Cricetulus griseus: one gene and its partners. The protein of the gene in region 2 purifies or fractionates together with the protein of the main gene of each other region. This does not show direct contact. Links are inferred from orthologs where the notes say so. Each region holds a gene or a part of one and is shown on either strand. Other genes may lie near its edges.

Evidence for each region.
Region 1: the proteins of Cd9 (region 2) and Ptgfrn purify together in Homo sapiens (co-immunoprecipitation; 8 studies listed by BioGRID and IntAct, with this or other methods). This does not show direct contact. The link is inferred for Cricetulus griseus from reciprocal best matches to the Homo sapiens genes CD9 and PTGFRN.
Region 3: the proteins of Cd9 (region 2) and Itga6 purify together in Homo sapiens (co-immunoprecipitation; 3 studies listed by BioGRID and IntAct, with this or other methods). This does not show direct contact. The link is inferred for Cricetulus griseus from reciprocal best matches to the Homo sapiens genes CD9 and ITGA6.
Region 4: the proteins of Cd9 (region 2) and Igsf8 purify together in Homo sapiens (affinity purification with mass spectrometry; 5 studies listed by BioGRID and IntAct, counting the BioPlex papers as one, with this or other methods). This does not show direct contact. The link is inferred for Cricetulus griseus from reciprocal best matches to the Homo sapiens genes CD9 and IGSF8.

What each region holds. Positions count from the first base shown.
Region 1 is NW_023276806.1:55,916,241-55,920,236, reverse strand, and holds part of Ptgfrn (prostaglandin F2 receptor negative regulator), read right to left. Parts: intron 2,538-3,996; coding exon 2,109-2,537; intron 1-2,108. UniProt on the Homo sapiens protein: Inhibits the binding of prostaglandin F2-alpha (PGF2-alpha) to its specific FP receptor, by decreasing the receptor number rather than the affinity constant. Functional coupling with the prostaglandin F2-alpha receptor seems to occur.
Region 2 is NC_048601.1:20,948,662-20,953,174, reverse strand, and holds the start of Cd9 (CD9 antigen), read right to left. Parts: upstream 3,136-4,513; 5' UTR 2,985-3,135; coding exon 2,919-2,984; exon of another isoform or gene 2,043-2,918; intron 2,030-2,042; exon of another isoform or gene 1,571-2,029; intron 1-1,570. UniProt on the Homo sapiens protein: Integral membrane protein associated with integrins, which regulates different processes, such as sperm-egg fusion, platelet activation and aggregation, and cell adhesion.
Region 3 is NC_048599.1:103,330,141-103,334,136, reverse strand, and holds part of Itga6 (integrin alpha-6), read left to right. Parts: intron 1-265; coding exon 266-426; intron 427-584; coding exon 585-728; intron 729-1,622; coding exon 1,623-1,738; intron 1,739-1,837; coding exon 1,838-2,027; intron 2,028-2,116; coding exon 2,117-2,200; intron 2,201-2,302; coding exon 2,303-2,382; intron 2,383-2,534; coding exon 2,535-2,612; intron 2,613-2,699; coding exon 2,700-2,802; intron 2,803-3,881; coding exon 3,882-3,996. UniProt on the Homo sapiens protein: Integrin alpha-6/beta-1 (ITGA6:ITGB1) is a receptor for laminin on platelets. Integrin alpha-6/beta-1 (ITGA6:ITGB1) is present in oocytes and is involved in sperm-egg fusion.
Region 4 is NC_048598.1:20,542,475-20,545,384, forward strand, and holds the end of Igsf8 (immunoglobulin superfamily member 8), read right to left. Parts: intron 2,671-2,910; coding exon 2,263-2,670; intron 2,166-2,262; coding exon 1,752-2,165; intron 1,495-1,751; coding exon 1,379-1,494; 3' UTR 1,364-1,378; exon of another isoform or gene 1,207-1,363; 3' UTR 935-1,206; downstream 1-934. UniProt on the Homo sapiens protein: Member of the immunoglobulin superfamily (IgSF) that links tetraspanin-enriched microdomains to the actin cytoskeleton and plays several important roles in innate and adaptive immunity.

The DNA of each region.
Region 1 (3,996 bases), on a different chromosome or scaffold from region 2:
GGAATTCAGGAACTCTGTCCTGACGTTTCCTGTATGGGAACTGGGAGGATGGACAGGAAGCAGCAAAGGAGGCTGAGATGCAGCATCCAGTGAATACAGAAACAAATCTGGGGAAGGCATCCTACAAGCCATGGGAAAGCCAAGGCATTTCTGGAAGGAAGAAAAATGATAACAGGTTTCTGTAGTGTGTTGATGTCTAGCAATCTTAATATGTGCAGTGAGGGGAAAGTAGGTCCCAAAGAAAAATGGAGGAGAAATAGAGAAATTAAATATAGTTCAATCAAATCCACTGCTACCAAAGGACAGAGCGGTGGGCAAGGGTTATAAGAAACAGAAAGATGAAAGAAGAAGATAGCCAGGTGGTGGTGGCACACGTCTTTAATTCCAGCACCTGGGAGGCAGAGGCAGGCAGAGCTCAGTGAGTTTCAGGCCAGCCTGGTCTACAAAGCGAGTTCTAGGACAGCCAGGAGTGTTAAACAGAGAAACCCTGTTTAACAAAACAATCAAAATTAGTTTTCCTAACAGCAATGTTAACAGGCTGGTTGGGAAGGACCAGAGGAGAGAGACTATCAAAGACATAAGAGAGAGGGTCATGTGCCTGAGCTGTGAAAGGGGCTGACCGTTGCTAAGACATTAGGGTGAGTAACAGGCTCAATGCTGCTGGCAGATGAAGTTCTCCTTTGACTATCTTTTTATAGGGGATGGAGAAGCAAGGCCAGAAGCTGATGGAGGCTGGGGGAGGATGTTTGTAGAGAGAGCAGGTGGCATGCAATTATCACTTAGGAGAGTGGGGAAGTAAACACATGAAGGAAACCAGAATGGCTCTCAATGTTGAGAGCCCATATGACAGAAGGGATTGGAGATTTAAAGTGAAACCAGACCACTGTTGGAATGTTTTCTCCTTCAAGTGCCTCTAGCTCTGCATATGCAGCCAAGGAGACAGCAAAGTTGGCTTTAAATAGGGTTGTGTTTTAAGTAGAATATAGGGTAGACCAAGCCGGTGGCTAGGGAGTTAAGGATGCAAAGGAGGGACATGACTGACTGGGAACTTAGGTTAAGATATCACTGTGGTGATCATATAATTCTCCTTACCCCTTGGCCCTTGGCCTTGGACCCACAGGTACATGGTGGACTTCTGGTAAGAGAGAAGCGAAGACCAAGTAAGGAAGAAGGACAATGTCAGATGGTAGGATGAATAGGTCTGAAACACTACAGGGAATAATCTAGAAAGACTGTGTGCACAGAGAACCAGGCATGTTAAACTTCAGCTATGGAGGAGTTGGGTTTCAGCTATCAAAAGTGAGCTGGTCTGATTTTCAGAATTGGGAATGAAGGACCCAAAAGGACAGAGGATGTGACACTTGGAGAGAACTTAGACAAGGACAGGGGAATGACAATGAAAGCCTTGTCTACACCAGGGTTCTCCATGGTAGCTACTCGAGAGGATTCAATACCAGCGTCCAGACTACACACACCTCGGACCAATCCAAACATAATTTCTACTGGGATCTTTGCTTTTTGAAATCTTCCAGGATGACTTCAATAAAGCTAGCCAGATAGGAGTAGTAACAGAGTGGCCGTGAAAGCAAGGCTGGCATCTCCAGCAAATGAACAGAAGACCCAGGAGTCAATCAAGTTAGTGATAGGAGGGGCTATGAGAAAGAGGGGCTATGAGAAAGAGGGAGGAGGAAGAGATATGGCCCTGGGCAAGGAGATTCAGAGGGGAAATGGTAGAAATCTCACTGAGGAACAGGAGGGTACCTGACTTCTTTGCAAGGAATGCGAGAGGAAAACTTTATCACTTAGGAGGGTTTCTGGGACAACTGCTCTCAGAGAGGAGGCAGGCAGCTGAAAAGAAGAAAAAGAAACAATGGGGTGCAGAAAATGCAAGGCTTTGCTAATAACAGTGAGTTGCAGAGGCCCTTCCCTCGTAGCTTGGGGACACAGAGTCTATAAAGGGGGGCAAGGAGGATCATGGGGGATTACAGTTTCCTCAAGTATCAGTATAGATTTGCAGTGTGAGTGGAGGGTGATGGTAACTGAAACAGACACAGACAGATGACTTAAACTAAAACAAAACGGAACGACGACCAACATGAAGTTCCTACCTTCTGAGGCCCAGAATATGTTGACAGGCTTGGAGAAGACGTCCTTACTTTTGACCCAGCTGTTGTTTCTCTGCCTGGTCCAGGCAGACACAACACAGTAATAATTGCCCCTGTCTTCCTCTGTAGTCCTTTGGATCCGGAAACTGAATGTGTCTGTGTGCTCCTTAGAAAATATAAACTCTCCACTCTGGGCCCGCTGCTTGCTCCTTTCTCCGTATCTTAGAGTCCAGTCTCCATCCATGACTGCAAGAAGCTCACTGGCCACCACTTCGTCACCAATGCGACGGTTCATTCTGTAGTACCATGACACGGTAAGTCGGACACCGGCCTCCACGCGCTTCATGTCTATCACCCGGCATTGCAGTTCTGTGGGGTCATCTGAAAACCCAGGGACCTTAGACGCATTCAGGTAGACTTGGTATTCTGGTTCTGAAGATGAGAGAGCAAAAACACAGCAACATAAGAATTGGCAAAGGGAACAAGCCAAGAACCGCTCATATTGTGACAAATTGTCCATCTTATCAACTCCTAGGATAGAAATCAAGTCTTTGTGTTGGGCAGCAAAGACCCTATAAGAGTGTTTCTAAATCACTTCTTCCTATATCTGCCTTAAGAAAACTGCCAAGGTGGTTGAGAAGTTACGAACACTTGCTGCTCTTGCAATGGACCTGGGTTCAATTCCCAAAACCCACACTGCAATCACAACCATCTGTAACTCCAATTCCAGGAATCAATCCCCTCTTATGGCCTCAGAGAACATAGTACACATGCGGTGCACAGACAAACATACAGGCAAAATACCCATATACATTAAAAAATAAGGTTCAATTTAAAAATAGAAAAGGCCCAAGGCAGGAAGCTAAATGCCCAGGGTCAGAATCCTCACTTATTCATAGGATGAGGGATGCTAGCAGGTGCTACAGGCAGTTGGAATCTTTGAGGGTGATCTCAGAAACTTAAGTGTCCACATCCTATCAAGACTGTCTCTGGGAGGCCAAGCAAGCCCACAGACCTCCGAAGCTCCCACTGGAACAGTAATGCAAAGTTCTAACACAGAGGACAATCCACAGTCTGAGGCCCACTAGGGCTCAGGTTCCTGCCATTCCTGGCTGTGCCCCAAATGCAAGGTCCCCAGGTCCTCATTCATATTCTTATCATCATTTGCTATTTTCCACTGAATCTGTATTCAGTCAGCCAACACCCCCTAGCTTAGACTCCCCAAAGGACTTCCTTTTCTTGCCACAAATAACTCACCCTGTAACTCTGCCAACCATGAAGCCATCACATAGTGAACCTGGCCCTGGTAAGTCTGCTCAATATCACCACCCGCTTCCCCACAGTGTTTCCACGCTTGTATCATTACTGGCTGCAGGCTCCTCCTCACTTGCCTCCTTAAGGAACATGTATTAGAACCCCTTGGTAGCCTTCCTTCCTTTCCACTCCCCCTCCACAGGCTTTTAACTACCATATAGGTGGATGCCCTTGTGGTACAACAGTGTTTGGGATGGTCTGCGACCCTCAGTGTCCCTAGGGATGATGGCTCTCCTTCTCTGAGCTCCCATACATCTTTCCTACACCAGTTATTCACTCTGCAACTACTCTTTGCTTGGGAGTCTCATCCCCAAGATCCTGGAACACAGTAGGAATTCAAGATATATCCCCTGGATTAATGGTAAGGTTATTAGAAAAGTCTACATTTTCTTTGCTCCAAGCGCTTTGCCTTCTATAAGAAAAATCATTCGACTTAAACAGAGCCTTCCACTTTCCAGGGCTCTCTTTATCTCCATCACCTTTAGCAATTTTGTTTTATTTCTTGCTGCTTTTATTTATGACTCACATGGATTATAAACTGCTGAGGTCAAGGAACTGTTCTTTTGTGATTTACACT
Region 2 (4,513 bases):
GGTCTGGGAGGATGGGTAGGATGGAAAGAACCGCCCCGGCCAAGAGGATCAAGGCCAGTCTGGTTGCATAGCAAGACCCCAAACAAAAAATTAATGGAAAAAAGCACATTACATTCCTGGTCTGGCCCAAGGCTGGTCACCACATCACAGCTTGAAATACCCCCATCTCCTGTCATTTAGACATGAGAAAGATGTTTTCCTCCCCCTCTTTTATTATTTCTTTTCTTTCTTCTTTTTGGAGGGAGTGAAGGGATAGACATGAGGTCTGAGGAAAATTCAGGAACCACTGAAATAGGCTGGGGAGGTTTGGCTCTGAAGATATTGGAAAAACAGACTGCTTGCTGGCGTGGTTGTGGGTATGAGACACCCAGCATCAGGAGGGCAGGCTGGGAAGGCTCAGCTGTCATGGAGCAACCCACAGGGGACATGCTCAGGCCTAGGAGAAAGGCAAGGCTCCCCTCTTCCGGTCCTTTTCTGCACTGTCCCACTGCAGCTAAGACTGGCTTCTCTTTGGATTCCTGCCACCCATCCCTTTAGGATCTATCTTCTGCACACAAAGGTGGCCCCTACTTTTCAAAGCCAGTATCAGGTTCCAAATGTCAAGTTCATAAATCACTGGTCTCAAGAGAGAGAAGTGGCAACATCATAATAATCCCAGCGGTCCCCTGAGATCACAGCCTGCCATAAAAGATTTTGAGGAGTTTCATCTCACCCTTCTTCTACTCCCACCCAATAGCCAAACCCAGTTGGGTACCTCACTTGATAATGTCCTGTCACTTGACCCTGGATATGTCACTTAACCTTTCATGGAGCAGATTTCTTGTCATCAGTAGGTAAAATGGGGATAACGCTTCCTTCTCAGGCTACATCATGGGCCTAGGGGAGGCCCTACAGACTGTAAAATACTTTACACGGAGACTGTAACAGGATGGGGCTTTGTCCCTATGGGACCCAAGGGTAGGACAGGTAACAATAATTAACTTACCCCCAAATGGTAAGAGAGATAGAAGAGGGCAGGAAGAAAACGGGAGGGGCGAAGGGGATACAGTACTATCTCAGCTTGCAGTCTTGGGTAAGTCACTGCCCTGGCACTCTCATCTGCCCAATGTGAACAGAAGAGCTTAGCATCTACAGTTGGTGCACAAGCGGTTCGCAACCCTAGAACCAAGTCCTTCCAGAATGAGATTGTTCTGTTTCATGAGGTATTAGTCAACCGGCTCTGTCTAGCCCGGGCAGGGAGCTCTGGATAGAACAGAGTAGCAGGCAGGAGACAAGTTAGACAGATTGCAGACCAGCAGGCAACAGACTGAGTAGACACAGGGTGGTCATGGGCACCTCCCTTCAGCCCCTTCCAGATGCCATGGGGGCAGATGGGGGACGCAGACTTGCTACGGCACTTTGTGTTCCTCCTAACCCTAAACTTTCACCTCATCTAGGCAGACAGTTGGGGACTAAACAACAGACAGGCAGGGGAGACAGCCGGCTAGGGTAGGGCAATGAAAACTCCCCAAAGGACAGGGCGGGGTTGGGTGGGGCCAGCAGTCAAGACTGTTTTGTGATGCTGGAGCAGATGAGCTGGGCAAGCCAAGCCTGAGAGCTGGCCTGCCGGTCTGCTGAGCTGGGGAAACACCAGGAGGGAATGCCCCTCTGACATCCTCTTAAGATGTATGGGTGTGGCGACTCCTAGAAACTCAAGAGCAGTGTCTGTAGGCTGCAGAACACTCCCGAGCAGCCCTGGACAGTATTAAAACTTACACTGGCTGGAGGATGATAAGCACCTGGTGGCAGGCTCCAAGGGAATAGTGCACTTTTGTTTTGGTTAAAAGTCTCTGGTGGTACATAACGCGTCTCTACCGTCATCTCTCTTGAGGGGCTGCCTGGCCAAACCCTTTCCTGCCTGCCTGGGATCAAATGCTGCCCATTTGTGTGTAGGGGGTGTGACCTCTCAGAAGCAGGACACAAGGGTCGTCCTTGTATCTCCGTAGGGAGCGGACACGGTTGCTTTTCCCAGACTTCCAAACGCGGAGAGGTAGGGAGTGTCTACTAGTTCCTCTTTCCCCACCCCACCCCACCCCGCCCCGCTCCGCTCTGCTCCGCAGCCTCTCCAGGTGAACGGCCATTCCTGCGGCCCCGCCTGGCCGTTTCTAGGAGGGTGGGGAGGCCTCAAGCCCAGAGTACCTCATTACCCTGGAAATGCAGAAACTCCGGACTCATACCACCTAGAGGCGCCGACGGGCACCTTCCCCTCCCTCCTCTCCCTAACTCTGCCAGAGTTCTCTCCAGCCAAGATAGTTATCGCTTTTGAAAAAGAATCAAGACAACCTAGTCTTTCAGGTAGTTTGGAGAGAGGCACGGACGTTCTCACGGGGACCGAGAGTCGAGACTGTGAACAAGGAAAGCCCGTCCTCCAGGTGCAGGACTCCCCGACCCGCTTTCTCTCCAGAGTGAGGGTGCCAGGAGCCCCTCGTGGGAACCCCTTTGCCACTGTGGGACCACCGAGGTGGGAGACACTCACTGCCCTGCTCGCCAGGAGCCTCACGGGCCAGGGAGGGCCTCGAGTTACTCGAAACGGGGTGCTCCGCTCCTCCTCCCCGACACTTCCCCTGTAGCAATCGGGGTGCTCCGGGTGGCAGCGGACACAGACCCCATCTCAGATCCTCGGCGGCGAGGGGCCCGGGAGCGGAGTGCACAGCCCGGGCCACTAGGACCGCGCTTCTCCCGCCCACCTGCCCGTCCAGACCGTGGCCAGTTGGCAGCCGCCGCGCCTTTCTCTTCTCGCCCCGAGTCCGCCTGGCGCTCGCAGTACCAGCTCCCCGAGCTGCCGGGCGCCGGGACACCCACGGCTCCGGACGCCGCCGTCCGGAGCTCGAGAACAGGTGGCCTCAGAGAGGAGCGCGTGACAGTCGCCTCTCACTCACCCAGAAGATGAAGTTAAATCCGAAGAGCAGGTATTTGATGCACTTGCTACCCCCTTTGACCGGCATGGTGTAAGCGGGACTTGCGTGGGACAAGAGGCGCGCACGACTGGGACAGAAGGTTCGCGGCAGCGGACTGAGAAACGCTGAGGCTGGGGGCTGGCCTACGTCTCCACTTTTAAAAAGTGCCACTCCTTACGGCCATCCGCCAGCTGCGATGCGCATGTGCGGAGGATGCCGACCCCGCCCCCGGCCCACCTGCCCCGCCCATGCCTCGTCCCCTCCCCAGCCCCAGGTTCTAAGACTCTGACTCCACCGGGGTGCGGAGCCCGCCCTGCACCTTGCCCTTCCGGGACTCGTTCCTGAGACCCTCTTTCCTTTCTTCTTTCTCCTTCCCACCGTCTTGGGGTCTCTCCAGACCTCCAGACCCGGCTACTTTTACCCGGGAGCCTTTCCTGTTCGTTTCGGGCGCTGCGCCTAAGAGTTTACGGTGGAAGACCCCCGGGTGTCATCTAATCTAAAGAACCTTTTTAGATTCCCGCATCAAGTCTGCCGGCCCCTGTTTGCCTGGCCTGCTTTCTCTCCAACCCCTCCTTGTAAACCTTTCCGGACTGAACATACTTATTTGAGCACTGTGGCCGCTGGAACGCTCCGGGTGCCAATCTGAGCGTTTCTCATTTACTCAAAAAAATTAATTCATTCACAGAGTCGAGTTGAAATTCGTCATCCAGTGTTTACTCCTCACATTCTCTACCCCACTTGGTGCCACACCCTTACTCTGCCCCACCTCGAAGCCTGCAGGTGGTGTGTGGCTGGCTGCCCCTGCCTCCTTTGCCTGTGAGATCTTATTGTGTTTATTCTTTATTTAAGTTTACACTTAGTATTTTGAGACAGAATCTTACTATGCAGCTCTGTCTGGCTTGGGTCTGGCTTTGTAAACCAGGCTGGCCTTGAACTCATCATGCTTCGTAATTTGTTTCTGTAGCCCTGCGACCTGGATTTGCGTATGTAGCTCAGGCTATCCTCAAACCTCTATCTTCCTGCCTCTGCATTGCTGGTGCTGGTGTGACAGCCATGGACCACCATATCCTGCTCTGAGGTTCTCTAAATTCTTCCTTGATTCTTCTAATTTGGGTGGGGAGGTCCTTTTCAACATCCTTTGCAACATTCTTTCCCTCACCCCGCCAGAAAGTTTCCTTGTAGGTCTTTATTGAAAAAGTAAACCATACTCATCACAGAAACATCAGAAAATGCCAAGAAGCAAAAAGAATGCGAGTTAAAATTTCACCCGGGTTACACAGTGCTTTGGAGGCGATCTGGGCTACATGAGACCCTGTCTCCAAAAACAAAAACCAAACAAGACAAATTGTCACGAAGCAAAACCAGCCTCTGTTAGCTTAGCACAGCTCTCGCTTCTGTATTTGTCAGTGGACTGGTTTCATTAATCGATCCACTTAAAAAGATTTTTTTTTTCACAGTCCACTTTGGAAAGGTACTTCACTGAGGGCAGGAGTTGAGAGCAACAGATTCTATCATCTTTTTTCCCTGAAGGAGTTTAGGAGCTGGCTGCGGGGGTGGGGGGGTACGGATGGTGGGGG
Region 3 (3,996 bases), on a different chromosome or scaffold from region 2:
TCTGGCTTGTTCTCTAGCTCCCCCAGGTGGTCCAGTGAAAATTTAACTTAACAAACCGGTAACAGCAATGGGGAAGAACAATTGGATTTAAAACTTCACAGTTCGATAGAAGGTCCCCTACCAGGAAATAATAAAGAAAAGCAAAGGTTGGGGGCAAAGTGCTAGTGTGTGGAGTTTTAAATACTGTAGAAGAACTCATCCTATTTGTAGTTGGGGGGGTGCATCGACACTTCTAAGTTAACACAGTTTGTTCACTTCAACCTAGCGATTTTGGGCATACTTGAAGCTGAAAAAGAAAGAAGAAAGTCTGGGTTGTCGTCGAGAGTTCAGTTTCGACACCAAGGTTCTGAGCCAAAGTATACTCAGGAGCTAACTCTGAACCGGCAGAAGCAGCGGGCATGCATGGAGGAGACCCTCTGGCTGCAGGTGAGCAAGCATGTGGCAGTCATCTCCGTGTTGCAGAGAACAGTGCTTTCCTGATGCTTAGGTTTCTGAACAACAAGCTGCTCATCAATGCGCTGCCATTGCTTTGGAGGTCTGTCCACCGTTGACCACACTCACCCATGACTCTCCTCACTTTGCAGGAAAACATCAGAGACAAGCTGCGTCCCATCCCCATCACCGCCTCTGTGGAGATCCAGGAGACCAGCTCTCGCAGGCGGGTCAATTCACTTCCCGAAGTTCTTCCCATCTTGAATTCGAATGAAGCCAAGTCCGTCCAGACAGATGTAAGCCATCCTGGTTTCTGTTTTTGCCAGTGTTATAGAAATAGGGATTTGCTTTACAGGCCACTTACTTATGGCCAGGTTTGGTGGTATTGTGTGTGCCTTTAATCCCAGCACTTGGGAGGCAGAGGCAGGAGGATGCCTGTGAGATCAAGGCTAGTCTGGTCTATACAACAAGTTCTAGGCCAGCCAGGGTTCATGATGAGACCCTATCTAAGAAAAAATAATAATAACTACTTATTTCTGTATACATAATTGGCCTGTTAGATGGAATTTTGGGGCCTAGCAATATTTGTCTTCATTGTACCACTGAGTATAGCACAGTGTGATGATAATATATATTATTAAAACATTAAACTCAATGAATAGCAAAACTTAGCAAAGCAAAAGAAAATTAGACATGATGAAATACTTTACCTAATGCAGCTTAGGTCACTGTAGGAAGAAAATAAGTATTCTATCGCTGCTGGACATGTCATGTAAGACGAAGTCAGTGTGCTAGGACAGAGTGGAGATTCAAGATGAGCCTAGAGAAGTTTGACAGCTTGACCTTGAGTCATCATCATGATTATTTTGTTTTGTTTTCCAAGACAGGGTTTCTCTGTGTTGCCCTGGCTGTCTTGGAATTCGCTCTATAGACCAGGCTGGCCTCGAACTCAGCAATCCGCCTGCCTCTGCCTCCTGAGTGCTGGATAAAAACACTCACCACCACCACCACCCAGCTATTATTGTCATCTTGATTACTGTTTTGGTGCTGGGAATTGTATCGCCTGGTCAACGTGTCTTTATAGAGGACACAGCAGAACCAGGTGTTTGGCAAAGGAGGGTAAAGTACCACAGGAAAATGAGCTGTGAAGACTTTTAGGACCTGACCTCTCTGCATTTGGTTCCCTACAGGTACACTTCTTAAAGGAGGGGTGTGGAGATGACAATGTCTGTAACAGCAACCTTAAACTAGAGTATAAATTCTGTACCCGAGAAGGCAGTCAAGACAAATTCTCTTACCTTCCAATGTAAGAATCATGAGAAGTTACTCTGACCTCTAGGCTTTGGTTAGAAAGAGAATTGCACGTGTTCAGATTCTCTTTGTGTTTTTCTTTCTTTTTTAATAGTCAGAAAGGCATCCCAGAATTAGTCCTAAAAGATCAGAAGGATATAGCTCTGGAAATAACAGTGACCAACGGCCCATCTGATCCAAGGAATCCCAGAAAAGATGGTGACGACGCTCACGAAGCCAAACTCGTTGCAACTTTCCCTGACACTCTCACATACTCTGCATACAGAGAGCTGAGGGCTTTCCCTGTAAGTGTTTTTGAGAAACCAGCGGGGAGGGAAAGAACAAGACCACACAGTCCGTGAATAAACCATGACCCCATGCCTTTCTGCCCCAGGAGAAGCAGCTGAGCTGTGTCGCCAACCAGAATGGCTCTCAAGCTGACTGTGAGCTCGGGAATCCTTTTAAGAGAAATTCCAGTGTAGGTGATGCCTCCACGCGCTCTGTCGTACTGTTCTGATTACCTGTACTGTGCCCAGGGGCCTGGCCCTTGGTAACAGTTGTTTATATGTATTTTCTTTAGGTTACTTTTTATCTGATTTTAAGTACAACTGAGGTCACATTTGACACCACAGATCTGGATATTAATCTGAAGTTGGAAACGTAAGAGTTACTTCAACCTTCCCATTCATACTTATTTCATGAGAACCCCAGAGTCACTGAATTAGCACTGATCTAACTCATAAAAGAAATGTAATTGTAATGAGAAAACTGACTGTTCAAATAAAACCCATTGTTTCCCCTTTCATTTTCAGAACAAGCAATCAAGATAATTTGGCTCCAATTACAGCGAAAGCAAAAGTGGTTATTGAACTGCTTTTATCGGTCTCCGGGTAAGTGTTGTGTTTGGCATAACAAATCAATGTTTGAAAGGACCATTTATAATTCTCACTAAAACGGGTGTTTTTTTAATTTGACAGAGTCGCTAAACCTTCGCAGGTGTATTTTGGAGGTACAGTTGTTGGTGAACAAGCTATGAAATCTGAAGACGAAGTAGGAAGTTTAATAGAGTATGAATTCAGGGTAAGTCGGAGCAATCGGTCCTAGATACAGTCTTGATATGTCGTTTTAATGATCAGTCAGTTGAACATGTTTGCTGGGTTTTAACAGTGAACACTTTATCCTCCCACGTAGAGAAGAACTATGACTCAGCAGAGACTTGTGGTTCCGAATCCAACTCTGCTAACCCTTACCAGGGAATTGTAATATATGTGTGGTGTAGGTACAAAGTAATACTTAATTTTTTTGCTCAGAGTCTATAAAACAAAGAAATAGTTCCGGGTAATTTGTAGTTGACCTTAGAATGTATAGTTGGTTTCTTCCTCTATAAGAAAGTCATTTTTTCTGGTGCTCTTGGCTGAAGGAATATTCACATTTACTCCCTTTCACAAGCCCAATTGTGTGATGGTGCCAGCAAAGAAAGCAGATGATGAGCTCTCACAGTGGGCAACCACTGTGACTCTGGGTCCAGTCTAACAAACTTGAACATGGACTGTGATGTCTGCCTATGATGCATATGGATTCGGGTCTCCATGGTGCAAATTGAGTTCCTAAAATGCTGGTGAGCAATGAGGTTAAAGCCTGAAATGGCAAGAACAGACTTGACCCAAATCCAGCACACTGAAGAGGCTAATTCTCTCAAGAAATGCCGGCTGGTGTGGGCTCTGTGCAGTCAGGCAGATGAGGTTCTAGAATTGTGTGCCATGATGCTCAGGGCCCCGTTGGACAAAGCTACTCCACTCCCAGCACTTGCCCTGAGCTGTCTCCCTGTGTACAAATAGATGAAGAGATTGCTTCATTTTCATGGTAGGGACATTTTCCAGAGCAGGATTTGGGTACCAAAGCAGAGGCTTTGTCATCTGCCAGGTAGGATGCTCGCTGAGCAATTCGCCAGTGCACCCAGGACTTTTCCTTGTGCTTTTGGGAACATGTCAGAACTGCACTGTGGGTTTTGTTACATATGATAGTTACCCCTGGATTGAACTAGCAATCCTTTCTTTTTGACCTTTCCTTTTTCCTTCTATTTTTTTTTTATGATAAGAATCTTGTAATTTTATCTTAAAAGGATTATATTGTAGCAAAATAATGTTGTTTTGTGACAGGTGATTAACTTAGGTAAACCTCTTAAAAACCTCGGCACAGCGACCTTGAATATACAGTGGCCCAAGGAAATTAGCAATGGCAAATGGTTGCTTTATTTGGTGAAAGTCGAATCCA
Region 4 (2,910 bases), on a different chromosome or scaffold from region 2:
AGCGTCCGGGGTTTGAATTCTGGGGAAAAGGTGGAGTCCGAGTAAGAGGGGGTGGGGTGCTTGGCATCCGCATACAGGGCATTAGACTGGAGACACTGAAGCTGCTCCTGGAAGTCACTGAGACGCCACCATTCAGGCACCACTGTCCAGGGCAGTCAGGAGACCTGTGTTCTACTGCCAGTGCTGACTGTCCCTAGTTACCCCTATGGCTCTCAGCAAGACACATTACTTCTCTGGGCCTCAGTTTCCTTATCTGTACAAAAAGAAAATGATACTTGGCAAACTCATAGTGCTCAATAAATGTTAAATTACTAAATGAAAAGGGAAGACTGGATGCCGCCTGAAGCACAGAACAGCCGAGACTCTCCGGACCCGAGAACCCTCAGGCAGGGAGATGCAGCGGCTCTGTGTACACAGAGGACACAGGACCTCCCGACTGCTGTTGTCCCTAAGTAGGCAGCTGTGTTCCGAGGCTCCCATTCTGCTGTAGTCAGAGAATAATTAAGGTCAGGATGACAAAGACTGAGGCCCCAGGGCCTGGTGGGAGGAGTCTGGCCCGAGACTAGCCCAACCAGGAGAATGAGACTGAGGAGGGTGTGCCCCAGTCTGGGGAGCCTAGAAAGACTCTCTGGATGCTGTGAAAAGGGCCAAGCTCAGCTGGAACTCACCCTCTCTTCCTATGTGGAAGCCCCATTAGGAGTTGGCTCCTCACTGACATTTTAGGCAACAGATGGGACCCAGGCATCCCCTCCTGCAGTGGGTGGGTAGCAAGGCCCACCAAGGACAGATGGTGTTTATGGTGGGAAAAGAGGCCTGGGTTGTCCAGAATAGGTTGTCAAGCCCCAACAATCTCCCTACTAACAACCACCCCCTCCCCACGCACCCCCGCTGCTGCCTTTTATAGCTTCGTGGCAAGGGAAAACACAACCAGGCCTGGATTTTATAAAACCAGTTTATTCACATTTTAAAAAAACAAAACAAAACAAAAACTAGTTTGAGGACAGGAACTGGCCTTCCTACAGCATGAGTGTGAGACCAAGGACAGAGAACCCGAGGAAAGGTGTGAGGAACTGGGGAGCCGCAGCTTCCACTCTAGGCAGGGACAGGACAAATAAATTAAAGGAGGGCTGGGCGGAGGAGGGGAGGGTATCTAGGCAACCGGAGGAGGAGCGGCGCTGGCTGGAAGACAGTTGACACCTGCAGAAACTAGAGAGAGTATGTGGAGAAGGCTGAGGACCAGGCTCCCTTTGGCCCTCACCCTGCTACATGACCCTGCAGGACTGACTGAGCTGGCAGCTTCTTGTCCAGATGGAGCACACAGGAAGCCCGAGGAAGATGGGACTTGGGGTACCCTTTCCCTCACCTGGGGTGCTACAGATCACCGCTTCCGCAGCCTCTTCATAAAGCAGCAGGTGATCGTAGCAAGGACGCTGGCGCCAGTGACTAGAGCAACTCCTGTACCCACCAACAGGGGCACGAATAGGGTATCCAGGGCTGGAAGAAAGATGGCTCTGCTCAGAGAGTGCCATGGTCCTCCACCGGCTGTCGTACAGTTCTCTGGCACTCTCCCCAGCAGGTTTTCCTGACTCAGTGGGCCATCCTTGCCCACCTACAACCGCACCAATCAGCACGGAGGTCAGTTTGGGGCTCTTCATGCAAAGGGATACAGGAAAAGGATAGCAGGGAAGACAGGAAAGCAGAAGGGGGCAAACACGGTTGGAGCAGATGAGTGGAGGGTAGTTTCCACTCACCATGTGTGTAAGGGTAGACTGTGACAGGTCCGGAGCGCGCACTGCCCGCCTGGTACCAGCTATAGTCCGCATGCTGCACCCAGGCGCTTGGGGCGCAGTGGTATATGCCTTCATCCTCAGGCCCCAAACTGTGTAGTCTTAGACGATGGCTCTTGGGTCCCACCAGCTCCACACTGACAGGACCCCCTCCAGGCCGGACTCCCAGCTCTGCCACACCATCCTGACCCACTCCACCCACAAGCTGAGCAGGGCCAGAACTTAACTCGCCCTCCTCTGGTCTCTCCACCCACCAGCTGGCGGCTAGTCGAAGCCCCGGGGGACCACCACGCACAGAGATGTTGCATAGCAGGGAGGCAGTCTCTCCCCGGTACACAGTACCCCCTGCGAGCCATGCCACGGCCTCCAGCACCACACCTGCAGAGCAAGGGACATGGGGGTTACAGGGTGAAGGCTCAGGGGCTAGGAAATAAATTCTGTAACCTCTGAACCCTGCCAAGGGTTCAGCTCTCACCTTCTTCCCTCACATGCACAGGGAGGGGCCGGGAACGAGCGCTGGCAGCTTCACGAAGCCGGGTCCCAGACCCTCGAACATAGGCTTTGGCGAGGCAGCGATAGGTGCCTGCATCACCAGGCCTGGCAGCCTCCAATCGTAGCCGGTAGGTTCTGGATGCCACTTTCTCCATGGCAATGTGGCGGCCCTCGTAGCCAGGGCCCAGGCTGCCTACACCTTCTGTGTCCAGCTGGGCCACCAGGCGGCCAGGCCCAGGAGCCCCTGCAGGAGCCATCTCCCAGCCCACCGAGTACGCAGCATGCCGGCCTGCTGGGGGCAGTGCCCCTGACACATTGCATAGCAGTTCCAAGGGTTCCCCTGGGCCAATCCGATGCTCACCAGGTCCCACTGTCACTGCTAGCTGGCTGGCTGAAACACAGCAGGGGAAGGAAGGAGTCACAGAGATGCCTGGGGCCCGTCCTCAATACCTCTTTGCAAAAAAACGTAGAGGCCTGTTATCTGTCCCTCACCCCAGGACCTGAATTTCACCCTTCCACCATAGCCCTTGTATCTCCACATTCAATATCTGAGCAGAGAAACCATGGATAGAGAGTGAGTAATGCCTGGACGGCTGGCTCACTCCAGGGAAGATGATGTAGCAGGATGATG